Linked DNA regions of Alligator mississippiensis. The protein of the gene in region 2 purifies or fractionates together with the protein of the main gene of each other region. This does not show direct contact. Links are inferred from orthologs where the notes say so. Each region holds a gene or a part of one and is shown on either strand. Other genes may lie near its edges.

Region 1 (7,926 bases), on a different chromosome or scaffold from region 2:
GTACTGCGTCTAGGTTTGGGTGCTGTACTTCAAGAAGGATGTTGATAGACTCGAGAGGGTCCAGAGGAGGGCCACTCATACAGTTAGGTTCTTACAGGACAAGCCCTATGAGGAGAGACTGAAGGCCCTGGACTTCTTCAGCCTCTGCAAGAGAAGGCTGGGAGGTGATCTTGTGGCTGCCTACAAATTCATTAGGGGGACACAGCAAGGGATTAGAGACGCTCTATTCACCAGGGTGCCTGCAGCAGCCATGGCCCCTTGCTCCTGGCCTCCCACCTAGGCTGCTGCCTACTGCTTGCCTGGCTGCCATGTGACCCCTGAGGGGGAGCTGCCTGTAGATGTGCCAGCTCTGCACATGGGCTCTGCTGGCCCTAGCCCCATGGTGGATGAGGGGGAGCAGGCTGGACAGCATCTGCCCTTGCCTCTGGTCAAGCCCCCAACCTGCTGACCTCCCTTCAGCAGCTGCACCTATGGTAGTGCCACCAGAGGCACTGGGCACCTCTCCCCAGGATCTGTGTCATAGGTGCTTCCACTCCACTGTTACCTCCCAGCAGTTGACAATGAACATTGAAGTTGTATGGGAAGCAGGACCTCTATTGTTAGTGTACATTGGGGTTAGGAGGGGTGTGTTGCTGGGAGGGAGGGGGATCTGTTACTATGTGGTGGAGAGAAATAAAGTTTGGTGTTTATTGCTAACTGCCTGTAGTGTGTGTGGTCTTGGGGTTACCCTGTGGGCCTAGGGTTCATGGCCAACTGCCTAGGTTTCATGGGTGGGGGGAGGAGCAGGATGTGGTTCAAGCCCCTTGCAGACATAGTGCCCTGGCCACTGCTGCTGGGGGGGCGGGTGTGGGGTGAGCAGGGAGTATCCGTGGTGTGTTGGCCACAACCTTCCAGGACAGCACCCCTTTCCAGCCTGAGCCTGAGGCTAGAGCCTGCAGCTCCTCCTGGTTGCTGTGGGGGGCAGAGCAGGGCAGGAGTAGCCCTGGATCTGACTGCTGCTGTGGGGCACAAATTTGCACCTGACAGGGTGCACGTGTAGATGTGTCCTATACTTAGAATTAGTTTGGCAGAACCCACTACCCATTGAGAGCCCTAGTAAAGTAAATGGCCATGTGTTTATGTGGGGATCTCAAGGCAGGATCAGAGTCCAGAGAGGAACCAGCAACATGAGAATCAATGAATCAAGGTAAGAGTGGAACCCCCTGGGAGGAGAAATAACTTTCTATTCTGAGATCCAAAACATAAGGAGGGTTGCAATAAGAAAGTCCTCCTGAGAAAACCTTTCCATTGAGAAATAAGGGGGAAGATACGATTATTCTGGTAATTGTGTGAGTATGTTACAAATATCATGTTGGTACACTGTATACCAAGTTTGGGCACAGCTGATTTACATTATTAAGAAGAAATATGTAAATCTGTGAGAAGCTACAGTGGAAATAGCAGCAAATGGGACAACTTGCAATTCCATAAGAAAATGATAGGTGATGATGGAGTAATACAAGTGTTATGTTTTCAAAAGCAGCTTTGAGTGACAATACCAGGAATTGTAACACAATTCTAATACAGCATTAAATCCTGACCAAGTGACTGATTCATTGCTTTGCCTTATAACCTTGGGGTGCTGCTGTTTTTTAATACAGCTCCACAGGTAGGCAGAGATGGTAATTATCAGCAACAGGAATGATAACTTTCAGTCTCTAAGGATGCATCTACACATGTATCAACGCACTTTAGTTAATACGCATTAAATCTAGTACCTCCAGGTTCCTACACACACAAGCGGAGCCTGGTCCAACACGCTGGAAATCCAGCATGTCAGACTCAATTAAATAGAGTCTGCTAGAACATGAAAATTGACACACTCCATTCCAGCAGCCTTGTACATTATGTGCATCAGCATCGCTATGCATCTTTGCACTGAAGAAGTGGTGGTGGAGTGCTTTGAAATAAAACATGTTCGATGAGCTTTAGTTCAAAGTACCCTGCTGCCATTTTTTTCAGTGTGGGGACATGCAGTGATGCTGATACACGTGATGCATAGGTGCTTTTAATTAGAACAGCTTGCTAATTAAAAGCACCCGGCACCAAGTCCCAGCACATGTAAAAGTACCTCCCATTGTGAGGTAGTAGGAAAATGTGCATTAGCCTGTCTTATAGTGCATTAACCAAAAAGCAAGATTTAAGTGACACTTAATGCGCATCAGTTTATTTTAATACACATTAAGACTTTAAGTGTTTGTAAGGCACAACAGCCACAAACCCAGGCTCGGGAGGAGAGTTATAGTGTCATCATCATCATATTAATAATATCATTATGTTATGGGTTGGGGTCCCCAGGGGTGGCCATGATACTCCTGGTGGCTCTGCAACTGTGCCAGCTCCGCCCCAAGGGCATCCCCTCATTTTGCCTACCAAATCTTGATGGTAAAATTATAAATCGGGAGGCTGTCCACAGGCCTTCATGTGGCCTCAGCCCACTGAAACTCACAAGAACTCACTGGTCCTTGGGCTCCAAACCTCTCCTACATCAACATTTTTTGTATGAGGACCCATTTGTAAATTTCAATGGTGAGTACCAACCCAGTGCCCTCACTCCCAACCCACTGGCCGCTGGGCCCCAGCCCCCCACCCCCAGTGTGTGCGTGGGGGGGGAAGTGGGGCATGAGGGAGCCCTGAGCAACCCCTTGCTGGCTAGAACTCTGCCAGCTGACAAGGGTAAACCCACGGTTTTCCACATTTTTCTCCTTTAATGAAGAATCCATTTTTAAAGTTTCTTCATGACCCTATCATATATTTTTGTGACCCACTTTTGGGTTGCAAACCATGGGTTGAGAAATGCTGCCTTACACCATGCCCCATGCCTCGTGGGTGTTACACAAATGTATTTTCCTTTATTAGGGCCTTGGCCTACTCAGCCTCTACCCCTTTAATTTCACTAGGCCTTCTAGCCTAGGCCCACTGTGTCAGACCTGGGTCTGAGGTACTAGCTCTAATTGGTTTCTTCCAGTCACTGGGCCCTATGTGGCTGCAGCCCCCCTGCTGCCCGGCCCTCCAGCCCTTGTCTGGTTGCACTCTTCTGGGCACTAATGAGGCCTCCGTACCTCCCCTTACAGCCCCATATCCCAGTTTTTTCTGATTTAAAAAAAATCCCCAATTTTCAATTAAAAAAAAGTCCAAATCCACATTTTTCTGTGATTTAAATGAAACACCACTCTATATTCTAATATTATAAAAGCCTAAGTCAGTCTGTCTGTCTGTCTGTCCATAGTGATTTATTTGCGCTCTGATTGGCTGTCTCAGCAGCTGATCAGAGTGCCCTACACAGACAGGGACAGACAGTGTAGAGCCGCCATGACTGTGGGGATGGCAGGGCCAGCTTCCCTGGCCTCCCCCTCCTCCCCCGCTCCTTGGAGGCAGGGGCTGGCGCCGCCCCCTCCAACAACAGCTGGCAGGGAGAGGAGGCACTGGGGAACAGGGGAGGGAGGGGAGCAGGAAAGGTAGGAGGGGTTACGGCCGGAAGCAGTGGGGGCAGAGAGGGGGAATGGCCCCGACCCCATCCCCAGCCTGAGGCAGGGGTGGGGAAGGGACGCAGGCCTCTGTCCTTGCCCCCCTCCCCGTCATTCTTGACAGGCAATTGGCTAGTATATCTGTATCAGCAATTCCCAACCTTGGGTCATGATCCAAATGAGGGCACGGGGGCAATGCCAGTGGAGCTGCACACATAGGACGAGCTGTGCCACATGCCGTGAGCTCCCCTGCCTTAGGGCTGCTGCCGCACTCTGCTCCCAACAGCGGGTCACAGCAAAAAACAGCTGGGAACCACTGATCTATGTATTAGCAGCGTTTCATTTAAATCACAGAAAAATGTGGATTTGGGGATTTTTTTAACCCAAAACTGGGAATTTTTTTAAATCCGAGAAAACCAGGATCCTTGCATGCCCAGTGCCCTGCCTCTTTTCGATCAGCTGGCCACCTGCAGCTGCCCATTAGCCTGCTGCTCAGGCAACCCACAGCTGTGGAGCTCTGCCTGGCCTGCAGGGCCCAGGGGTAGGCTGCCTCTGTCCTATGTGCCCTGCCACACATAATTATGAACAATAGTTGTAATGACAACAGTTAGCATTATTATTGCTGTTAATAGCAATTGCAGTCATCATTCTCATCAGTAATTTCTGTATTAGAATAACAATGATTATTGATAACCAATATTGTTGCTATTAAGAGCAGGAATAGTAATACTGCTTCTAATAGCGATACTTATTATTAGTAAGAATTATCATTATAATACAAGCTCTCTCTCAACTCCGGATTCATGGCTGTTAATAATAACAATAATTATTATAATTATAACAATAGTAATAATCACTATTACAATTGTTATTGTTCTGGCCATTGGCCGCGGCACTCTTCGCTGCGGGGCAGGCTGGCGGCGCGCGGGGGCGCTGCAGCAGGCGGGTGCGAGCGGCGCGGACAGCTCCCATGAGGCGCGGGGCGGGGCGGAGCCTGCGCCCTGGGGCCCGGTCGGGCAGTCCGCGCTGCCACCCCGCCCCTTTCCTCTTGCCCTCTTGGCGGTCGGGCGGCGGCGGCTATGGCGGACAGCGCGAGCGAGAGCGACACGGACGGCGCGGGCGGCAGCGGCGGGGCGCCGGGGGCTCTGGCGGGTGGCGGGGGCGGCGGCAGCAGCGCGGCTGGGCCGGGCGTGGGCGGCGGCGGTAAGGCGGGCGGCATCGTGATCTCGCCGTTCCGGCTGGAGGAGCTGACGAACCGCCTGGCCTCGCTGCAGCAGGAAAACAAGGTACTCAAGATCGAGCTGGAGACCTACAAGCTCAAGTGCAAGGCGCTGCAGGAGGAGAACCGCGACCTGCGCAAGGCCAGCGTCACCATCGTGAGTGCCCGGCCAGGCCGCGGGGAGGGTGGCGCCTTACCGCGCACTGGGGGCGGCGAAGGGGCCCTAAGACCCTCGGGGCGGGGCGGCCGGGCGGGGCCGGAGGCCTCGGGGTGTTTGGGCTCCAGCAGGATCCTTCCCCCTCCCTGCCGCGGCCCGGGGCAGTTCTGAGTCCCAGTCCCGCGCTGCCCCTGCCTGGGGTCTGCTGCCTCCACCGTCTGGATCTCCTCCAGCAGCTCTGAAACCTGCCCTGGGCCTGGTCTGCCTCCTGTAAAATTGGTTCTTTTTCTCCCTTAATAGCAGGAGCCAAAAATAGCATTGGGGGCCCCACCGTTGCTCAGGTCAGCAGCTCTCGACCTTGTTTTAGACTGGAGGCAGTTCCCGTGAAAATGCCAGTGCTTGGTGTTTCTTTGCTTACAAGAAAATATCAAAGCAGTTCTCCTTTTGCAAGGAACTTGGGAAGACCTCAGCACGGCAGAGGCTTTTAAGGTTGTAGGTTTGTTATGAGTTGTGTGTACACACACTGCAGGGCAGGCATTACATGGGCCTCGGGTTGAGAATGGCTGGTTTAGGCATCTTACTCTTCCTGCTGATGGTTCTGCACCACCCCCAGATGCTGCGTGAATACGATTAGACGTGATTAAATCAAACAGGGGACCAAAATTGATGATTTCTTCACCGTGGCTATTAAAGAATAAGTGCTTAATTTCATGTTAATACCTGGGATTTTACCGGTACAGCTTTTCATGTTAGACAACTGACAAGTGTGACCTTGTTAAGGTAGATGGTATAAAATCGTTTTAATGGGAAGGAAGCCTCTGGGAATTTTGTGCAAAGAATAAGTCTAGGGATTTCACGGAACCCTTCAGGCAGGGTATGACGTGCACTGGAGTGGAAGATAGTTTGAGGATCAGCAAGTTACAGTTTTTCATACCCTGCTTTTATCAGCAGCAAATGTGAGCAGCAAGTGGTGGTAAACTGCAAACTTTCTTATACTAATACTAGTACATGTTTGTGTGTTTCCTGTCCAGTTAACTTGAATAGATTGCTTGGGAGCTCATTTAAAATAAGACTTGAAAAGCTTGTTCCTTCATTTAAGTAGTATTTTAAAAGAAGAATTTTTACAGTATTGTGGTAGACATGGTAGTCGAAGTACTAAATTGTGTAAAAGTTGAATACCCTTTTAAATAATAAATAAGGGCATTGTTAACCTTAAAATAATAATTTAAAAAATGTACGAAGCCCTTTGCTTTGGCCTGTGAGAGGTAGGGCGAGTGATTTATGAACCTTAAGGGAGAAAAAAAGAAATGTATTAGCCCCTTGGATTATCTGATGGGGCTATAAATATATTGACAAATTTATTTTCCGTAAGTGTTCCATGATATTCATATTTAAGTGCTTTTAGGTAAATAGCTTGGTATGTTTAGTTAGGTGATAGTATTTTAAGTTCTGAGCTAACATGCAGGTTTTTTTTATACTTGTGATAAAAGTTGTAACAGTTGAAATTAGGTTGGATCCTACATGTCTTTACTCGGATATCTAGACATTGGTATACAGCATCATTCTCTTAGAATGTAAAGTCTGTTGTAAGCATCTACTGTCAGACCTAGCTTTTTTCCAAATATAATCATCATTTTATTGGTAATAACTTCACATCTTATTGGTAGTAACGACATATAGGCTGTTAGATCTGGTGGGTCTGGGTGAAGCTCTGGAACCAATCATGAGGAACCTCTTTTGTTCCCCTACTAGGTATTCTGATGTTTAGCACGGTGAGTCTTAACCTGGATGCTGTGGCACCCTGGGGTATTTTAGTTTCTTTGCAAGGGTACCCCAGGTCACCACACTATGTTAGTAGGTGTGCAAACCTGATTGAAAAGTTTAACCTAGAGATTTCAAATGGGAATCCATAGTGTTCAAAACATTCTGACCTGTGTAATTTGCAACAGAAGAATTGTGTTAGTATTTTTCTGTAGTCAAAAATGAGTGAAAACTAAGAGTTTGAATTTTTATTGAAGACTGACAAAAATAGTGCTAGTTGCAGAAATATTCACTTATCATCAAGTATTAGCTGAAATATACATGTTGTGGTTTTTGTAAGGTAGCAGTAGTATCTTCCGGCCCTGTTGTCAGGGGTTGGGGATCTTGTCAATTGGAAATCTTTTTTGACTTTGCAGTGAAGAGAGATATTCATCAGGACTTTAAAAATTATCACTGAACAATTTCTAAAGATAATAAGTACAAAAAGTCTAATTTCCATAAAATATTCTCTGAAGTTGACTTTGGGGGCTGATGAGATTAGATACTAATCGTACATTAATTCTGTTTTTGCTGTTTTTGTTCAAGTCTGCAGTCCATTAATGGAGATCTTTTTACAAGATCTCAGAGGAATGGAGAAAAGGTGCAACATTTCCATAGCAACCTGTGGGTTGGGTAAATCAACATCTTTAGAAAAATATCTGTTGAATTAGGTCTTAGAAGTGGTTTGGACAGTAAAACACACTATTTAGAATACTGAAAATAGAATGAGGCAACATAATGGTAAGCATGAAGCAAAAAAATCTAGAGTATAGTCAGTTGTTTGAATTAGCTGCTGAAGCTTAAAAAAGTAGAGGTAATTAGGAAAATAAAATCAGTAAGGAGGTAGAGGCCTTGGAGAAGGTATCAGAATGTTTCTTTCAAGTGGAACCTTGCAATTGAAATTATGGACATGTGCTTTCTATTTCTACTGTCTGCTCCTTAGACATATTTTGCCCTTTTCAGCCTGTCAGCATTAAAAGTGGCCTGCCAGTTGTCACTTATTATGTCTACTTTTTAAAAAAAAATACAGAGTTGTAGTGTTTTGGATCATCATAAAACATAACTTTTCAAGACTGTGCACCATACTTTACACAATCCTTTAATAACATATTTATAGTCAAAATATGCCATGCCCTATTACTCCAGACTGGAAGTGGTTGGTCACAGTTTGTTAGAGAAAATTAAAAGTGATTTGGAGCCACAAGTAAGTAAAGTTTTATTTGGAAGATGGGTGAAAAGCAGCT
Region 2 (8,403 bases):
GTCCCTGTTCCCCGCAAGCACTACCACGAGTAACTAGGAATAACAGCCATAAGTTGACTGAGAGTAGGTTCAGGCTAGTCATCAAGAGGCGCTACTTCACAGTCAGGGAAGCCAGGATCTGAAACCAACTTCCAAGAGAAGTGGGGCTCGCTCCTACCCTGGGGGTCTTCAAAAGGAGGCTAGATAATCACCCTGCCGGGGTCATTTGACCCCAGCATCCTTTCCTGCCCATGGCAGGGGGTCAGACTTGATGATCTTCTCAGGTCCCTTCCGACCCTACCAACTATGAAATGAACAAATAACAATAAGTCAAAATTGGACATGCGCTTAACCTGGGTCAGCAGCTCGGTTTAAATTGTTTTTGCCTACTCTTCCTCTGAGGTCTCTGTCAAACCATGACTGCTTACTCACCCGTGAAAAAGAGCAAAGTTGCTGTGGTCTAGCTTCCTCTTATCGAGGGATAAGAACCAGTAACATCAGCAGTCTCCTGAGAACAACTGACAAGTAAATCCCTGCCCACTTTTAATTCACCATAACCTGATCATTTCTCCATATTCAGTGTGCACCAGCTCTTCAAAACTCTTGCTTCTACTGGCTTCTCTAAATATCATGATCTTTTATTTACCCTATACAAGCTCCCTTCTAAGGTAAATTATCCTAGAAGTCCAAATGTTGTTTTTTTTTTGTTTGTTTTTTACAATAAACTTTCCTTCTACAGTCTCTCCTGCCCAATGAACACCACTCCCTTTGCAACTGAAGGTTAATTTTCAACATATATTTCCTTCTATATCCAGACAGCCTGTTGATTCTACAGCAGGCAAAAAAAGTATTTTATGTTCTTACTGCTCAAGACAGTTCTCATCTTGGCACACAAGGTCATCAAAAATAGTTCCGTTTAAGTCAGCTTTCTTTCCCATGAACAGACAGAAGTATTACAGCAATGAGTACCTCATAAATATGTAAGAATTAAGGGCCGGATCAGAAAAGGTATTTAGGTATCTAAACAACCATGAATCCATGAGACTTCAAACTGCAAAAAATCAGGTTGTTTGACGCAGAGAGAGAACACCGATAATAATCGAGTTTCCTTTCTTAAGTATTCACCAATTGCATTCGTGTTGCCTACCCATCCACCAACCATGTTAAATTGTGACTGTGTTATTTAAAAACGTAGCGATCCCTGTAGCATGTATTCCCAAGCATGCTATAAAATGCGGGAGGCAACTCCCGCTTAACGCTGTAACACTCGTTTTACTTTGATACCCAACTCCACTCTTCAAGTTTTGTTATATTGCTCATGGGCATCACACAGCTGGCAGCAGGGAGAGTACACTAGCACCACAGCTCATCAGCAGCACAGTCTCGTTGTGCAAGTTAGCGCCAGTTGGCTTGTGTCACCATCTTGGTTCATCAAAAAACAAACCTGGTCTCGCTTAATGCTATATTCCTTTTAATGCTTGGTTTTTCAGGAACCAATTAAGAGCGCTAAATGGGGGTTTGTCTGTATTTTACTTGAACAAGTATTTGGGAATTTGTACTGGAAACAGGACTGTCCTTAAATGGTTCTTACCCACCCCTTGGAAAAGTACTTTAAGGAAGAGGTTGGTAAATCACAATCAAGCGTTTCACAAAAAAATAATCAAATCCTTTTTGGTATGAAACACTTGTTTGGGATATACCAAACTCTTCCTTAAAAATTCTATACCAAGCAGCACTTTTCCTACTTACAACATGACAATTTAGAGACTCATCACATACCATAATTTGAATAGAAGTACAGTACTGGAATATTTTATAATGGTAAAGTTTGACCATGCTACACTCATAAGCATTTGTCTGTGAAAGCACCTTTGTGTAACTTCATAGAGATTATCAAGGGCACTCTACAAAAAGAGATGGGTTCAATCAGCACACTACAGTAGTCACAGGCACAATGCCAAACCTGTCACTTCAGTGTTAGTGACAACCATAAGGGGGCACATCAGTGACATCTCCCAAATCTGTAATCAGCAGCTCTCCCAAGCACACGCCACAAAAGGTCTTTTTCTCCATGCTAAAATCGTATGAACATACTGAATATACAACACCCCTCTCTTTCGCTGTCACTGCTTTTCAGCTACAAGTCCTGAAGTAACTTGATTCAACACAAGACCTCCATTTGGGACACAAGGTCAACATGACGAGAGGAGCGTGCTCCACCTGCACAATAAATTGTTGCCCCTTAGGAACAGAAACGCAGCATCTCTTGCTGCTCTAAGTTAATCACTGGGAACAGAAACGCAGCATCTCTTGCTCCAAGTCAAATCATCGAGCCACACGCTTCCTCGGAAGAGATCGCTCTTTTCACTCGTGCAGGCACACAACGCGACACGACGGTGTCACCAGGCACCCCGAACAGACTGTGCGAAGAAAAGCTGAAATGAATTTGCTCCGACCTATACCTGTCGCTTTCCTTTTTTTTGTGCAAAAGTCTAGTTTACAGATTTCACAGTCATTAGGGCTGGAAGAGACTGTGGCAGATCAAGTCCGGCCCCCCGCTCCAGGGGCTGCAAGTCAGCCAGGGTCACAGGATCCCAGCAAGACCAATTGACTCGTAAAGGAGTCCCAAGTAGGTGCTCACATCGGTCTAAAACAAGGCAAATCACCTCTACCGGGAGTCCCGATTCCCTTTCGCCTCTAGACCAATACGGCCGCGATGCGACCCGACGCGTTCCTTTCGGGCATTAAACGCTTTAGAGACAGGGAAATTCGGAGGAAACAAAACGACGGCTTTAAAAACATTGTGAAAATTTACCGAAGCCGTTCACCCCCGTCTGTCCTGGCACTTGCCCGCGAGGCGGGCGAGTCGGCGTGGACGTCTCTGGCGAGGCAGGGAGCGGGTCGGGAGGAAGCCACGCGGTTTCGGCAACGGGGGCGAGCGCCGGAGCGGCCCGACCACCCCGGGGGTGGTGTCAGGGGCTGGAAGGGGCCTCGCCGCACTGGGGCGGGGAAGCCGGCTGCGACGCGGCGAGGCCGCCGACTCGCGCGGGGAGGGAGACGAGGCGAGCGGGAGGGAGGGAGGGAGGCGCCGCGACCCCGGTGCGGGGGGCGCCTGGGTGCGGTGCAGGCAGGGGGCGGCCCCGCGCTCCCCTCCGCGGCTCCCGGCGCCATTTTAGGAGTCGCGAGGAGGAGGAGGCCGAGGCTGAGGCCTAGGCCGCCGTCTGCCCCGCCCCGCTCCGGCCCGCGCGCCCCGCGCTCACCTTCTCACACAGGCTCTTCACCTGCCCCTCGGACAGCTGCTTGCACTCGTTGAGCTGCTCCACCCACTGGTCCAGCTCCTTGGTGAAGACCTTCTCCTCCATGACTCCCGCCTCCGCACCGGCTCGGCTGCACGCAGCGCTGGCGGCCGGAGCCCGCGGGACGCGCACACACGGCGGCTGGCGGCAGCGGCAGGCGGCTCGTCCGCTGCCCTCCGTGTAATGGCCGCCGCCCTGACGTCACCCTCGGAGGGGGCCCTCCGGAAAGGGGAGGGGACACGGCGCATGCGCCCCGGAGGGCCGCCCCGCGCCTGCGCACTTGGAGGCTTCGGGAGGGGGGAGCGGCTGGGAGGAGTCGTGCGTGTGTTGTGCTGTCGGTGCGGTGGCGCATGCGCCGTGGGGTTGCTTGGTGGGGGTGGGCAGCAGCGCGAGCCCTTGGAGGCCCTGCCCAGGTAGGCCGCCCCGCCCCGACCCCGCCGGGAGGAGCGAGGAGAGGTGTCGGATCCAGCTGTGTGGGGCAAGGGGGCTTGGTCTGGCGCCACATGGGAAGGGGCATGAACCTGCCCATCCAACTCCACGCTGCAGGGAGCCGGGCGGGGAGGGGAGGAGGCCCGGCCCAGCCACACCCAGGGAAGGGGGAGGGGAGGGAAGGGAAGGGGTCCAGACCTGCACGTGGCTGGGGGAGGGATCATAGCTTGACGCCTAACCCAGCAGTGCAGGGGGCATAGCCATGGCCTGGCTTCCACTTGCTCGGGATTTTGGCAGAGGGACGGGTGGCACTATTGACCCCCCCCCCGCTGCCAAATTTCCTGACCCCTTCTGCAGCCCCCCAGCTTGCGGGCAGGAGGTGGAGCGCTCCTCGTTGCTCCGGCGGTCCGTCCAGGGAGCCACCCCCGCGCTGCACTGAGAGCGTGAGCCAAAGCAGCGCAACTCCTCTCTAGGTGGCTGGCGATCGCTGTGCTGCCCCAGTGGCTCAGATTGCAGATCTTGGTCATCACGATTGCCCCGTAATTATTTCTTTTGAACTGAGCCAGGGATAAAGAGTAGATCTGAGCTCCAAATTATTGTTTGATGACCAGCCAGAAGAACAGCCCTCTGACTGACGACGCAATTGGTTCATGAAAAGCTGCGTCTTCAGTTGAAATATGGGGACTCGGAACCAGTTTTCTCATAGGGACAGTGTTACCCCGGACTGGGGCAGAGTGGGGCTATGGGAGGGCTGCGGCCACCCAAAAATTCACCGTAGCCCCCACTGCCTGCGTGGTGCAGCCCCGGCCCCACCTGTCCCACCCCACGCAGATCCAGGGACACACGCCCCCCCAGCATGGTCTCCTGGACTAGCAGCGGAAACCACTAGTCGAGCCGCCAGACAAGCGGTGCACAGTGGTGGGAGCCGCCATCCCCTCCTCCTGGTGCCCATCAGCCCTGGCTGGACAGTGTTTGCCCCAGCCCCGACCCCTCCCTCACTGTGGGGGACATTGATCTCCCCTCTCCCTCCCCTTCCACCACTTACCAGCTACACGCCGTATCGACCGTTGTAAAGATGAAACCAGCATTGAAATGGGGTGTCAATTTATAAACATCATAAACGACATTCATCGCAACTTGAAAAGTCCTAAGTTGGGGGCTGCCTGTAGTTCATGTTGGGTATCGGAATATCGGAACCCCTGAAACTTCTCTCCGGCATTTTGATTTTCTTGGAGGACCTAGCAGCCTATCAAATTAAAACTAGTGTTTCATCGGAAAAATATGTGGTATGAATTGATTAAGTAGATCAGACACTAGATAATTAAGAGTGTAATTCTGCACTTGGATTTCTTCCATAGGAGGCACAAAGACTGCATTCAGTATCTGGTATTCTGCTTCTAGAAGTGATTATCTGATGTTTGAGAGGAAGGTTAAATAATAAAAATAAATGCTTACTTTACAATGTTGCACACAGTGGTGGGGGTTGTTTGCACCCACCCAAAGGAGTGGTTAGGTTGTATCCTGAAATAGGAGATGACAATATTAATTCATAGCAATTAGCATGTGAATGGGAATCAGGCTTCCATATATCTTATGTGTAATTAAGGAGATCAATCTGCTCCAGTTGCCAGAATGAGTCAACAGAGTAGTCCTTCACCTTTGTACCCAGTCCTAATGCTTGAGTCAGTGACAAGTGTTTCATGTTGCTGGCATGCTTTAAAAAAAAGGTAAATCAAAGTTGATTACACTTCTATTAACATGAATAACTATTGAGTTGTTATTGGTCATGATTATTCAGCCCCTATTAAAAACCTTCTACAGTGCTAGCTAGCTCTCCAGTGTCCAGAAATGAATTCCATAAGATCATTGACCTTAGGTGTATTAGTGCTTGTAGTAAGATGTGTCATACTAGCCAAACTGCAAGCTCTTTCCTACTTCCTTTTTTATTTTATTTTTTCAAAATAAGGGAGATAGATATCTACAGCTATGAAGAATGGCAGAAACGTTTATATGCAGTTTATTGCAGACCGTTCCATTATAAGATTTCTTGCACTGCCTAAAATATCAGGTATTGGCTTTTTAATGGAGATTGGTTACTGAATTAGTTGGATCCCACTGTTCTGACCAAGTTAGGCAATCCCTGTGCTCGATAACAGGACCATTCCATATAGGAAGTTATTCATGAGATGTGTTTGTCCCCCTCATACTGATAAAGACATTTAAGATTTCCCTTCACTTGATCCTCCTGTACAAATATTCAGTCCTGGTTATTCAGCAGGATTCTTATACTTGTCCCTGATGAATCCTGGTTATTCACTAGTATAAGAATCTCAGTGTCCATTCAAGACTTAAGTGAGGCCAAGGGATGAACCCCATAATTAATGCCATTAAATCTTACCAGGAGCACACTGCTACTACATATGCAGCCTCGTGTGTCTTTGACTGCCTGATGACATTGTATCCCTAAGGCAGCCTCAAGTGGCTTTCTTGAGAGCTGTCATAGTGCAGATGATATTAGTCCCTGTGACACGTCATAGTTATACAAAGGGTAACATAGGTGATGAATTGTAAGAAGTATGAAGCTTTCAGTTTTCAAGGATGAGAGGCTACCCAGTGAGAAATCTTGTTTTGCCTGAACAAGAGAAAGCTAGCACTGGCAGCTATCATATTGCCAGCCTGAGAGAGAAAGCAAATGTGTGTATATTCTGGACCCCTCAAAGGCATTTCACTCTGCTGCACATTAAGTATTAACAACATATAGGATATCTTGCAATAGCCAGTGGGGATGCCTTGTGCTGAATCTATTCAGTCCTACTAAACTGAATCCAGAGAGATGTGAAGGGCATTTGTCACCAGTATCGTCCACTATCTCTTTTACTCGGAACGAGGTGATACTTCTTGGAGAGGTTGTGAGATTACGCAGATTCATATTCCACTAATATGATTACACCAACTGTATGTCTCCACTGAGGTACCTTACACTATTACTAAGATGTCTCGGTGTCTTTAAGAGATGAGCAGATGAGGGGGGTGACTCCACTTTAAGAAAGGATTAGTTTTCGTAAGTCTGATTCACTGTTGTCCTGCATAAAAATAAAACCAGTACATAGCAAGTGCAAAGTGCAAAATTCTGCATTCTGATTTGATGTTTTTTCATATTCACTTCAGACTGATGCCAATGACTTCACAAGGTGAAGGCAGTAGAGAGTTAGGCCCAATTAAATTATGTTTGTGTTAGGCTTAGACAACTAGTTTTAAAGCATTGGCTTTGCTCAGAGTCAAGGCTCCAGCAAGATGAATTGTTAGAAACAGTCCTATTTGGCAAATGATATTCATTATGCTAGACTTTTCCCTGTAATATTTACTTTAGTATTTTTATGTCACACAGATCAAGGGAGGTGTGTTGTTTTCTTTGAGATACTAGAACTAAATCTATGGTATGAAAATTAAACAAATGTAGCATTTGTTAGAAGTATAATCATGTGCTTCACTTAGGAGGAAAAGTATTTCCTTTATGTGACTTAGAGACTTTTCCCAACTCTAATAGAGTTGATGAATGTTTTCATTAGTGATATTGCAGAAGTGTTTAAGAGTATCACAGTAACTTGTACAGAAGTTGCTGTTGTGGTTATCAATAGCCACCAAGGCACAACAGACTTTGTAAACTCTCTGTTTCACCCCATAATTAGACCCTCAGTAGTAGGCAACTGTCAGTCCTTCGGGATCATGGTGTATGTGAGAGAGGTCACCTGGACTTTCAACTTGTATGCCTTGGCAAGAGCATGGAGGAGTGGAGGCTGCCCAGACCTTCTACCCCCACCCTCCCCTTTAGACCATTGAGACAGAATCCAGAGGCCAGACCAAGTCCAGATGTTCAGTGCCTCAAGGGCTGTAGTTAAGTGCATGTCCTTGCTTGTTAGTCTAATAAAAGATATCAAATTCACCCAAGGAACCTTGTCTGCCTATGTCCTTGCATCAGTATCTCTGAAAAACATGCAAGACTGAGGAGAGCATAGCAAATGCTGAGTGTTAGATGCTTGTTGCCTAAGTATTGGGGGTCATGATCTGGTTACATTATGATCAAATTGGAGAGAACTTGGAGCAATTTCCCTTTCATCTGTAGCACGAGGCATGATTTCCCTGCTGAGATAATCTGGGTGTAGTTCCACTAATCCATTCCCTTCCTTTGCAGGGCCTGAGGAATTGGTGTTACCTAGGCTTCTCCTATAGTTCGCCTACAATACATACTTTTGATTTAAACACAGTAGCCTACTTGAATTAAAGTCTTTGGGCTTAATATAGGGGTATCTGTATGAAACTTAATAGTCTGTAAAATGTGGACTGTTGTATATTGATCTCTTCTGGCCTTAAACCCTAAACTAATGATAAACGTAATATAACAATACGAATACCAAATTCTTGGCTGATGCAAGTCAATTGAAGTCCACAGCATTGCATTAGAGATGAATCTAGGTTGGGTCCACAGCTGTGGGATAGAAACAAGGAATCTGCTGCCATCAGAATCTTGCAGTCAACAATAAGCAGAAATAAGGGCCTGCAAAGGAAAGACAAAGGCTATCAGGCTGCAGAAAAGACTGCATGCAGCAAACAGAGTATTAAAATGGGTGTTTTGCCTTGCTCCGAAATGTCCTATAAAGATGTAGCAAGCCCAGGCCCCAGGGGCAGCCGTTCCACCCCC

Evidence for each region. The genes of interacting proteins can lie anywhere in the genome.
Region 1: the proteins of PPP2CA (region 2) and CCDC6 purify together in Homo sapiens (affinity purification with mass spectrometry; 4 studies listed by BioGRID and IntAct, with this or other methods). This does not show direct contact. The link is inferred for Alligator mississippiensis from reciprocal best matches to the Homo sapiens genes PPP2CA and CCDC6.

The regions. Positions count from the first base shown.
Region 1 is NC_081829.1:47,378,488-47,386,413, reverse strand, and holds the start of CCDC6 (coiled-coil domain-containing protein 6), read left to right. Parts: upstream 1-4,521; 5' UTR 4,522-4,585; coding exon 4,586-4,882; intron 4,883-7,926.
Region 2 is NC_081832.1:70,069,485-70,077,887, forward strand, and holds the start of PPP2CA (serine/threonine-protein phosphatase 2A catalytic subunit alpha isoform), read right to left. Parts: upstream 3,438-8,403; 5' UTR 3,342-3,437; coding exon 3,240-3,341; intron 1-3,239. UniProt on the Homo sapiens protein: Catalytic subunit of protein phosphatase 2A (PP2A), a serine/threonine phosphatase involved in the regulation of a wide variety of enzymes, signal transduction pathways, and cellular events.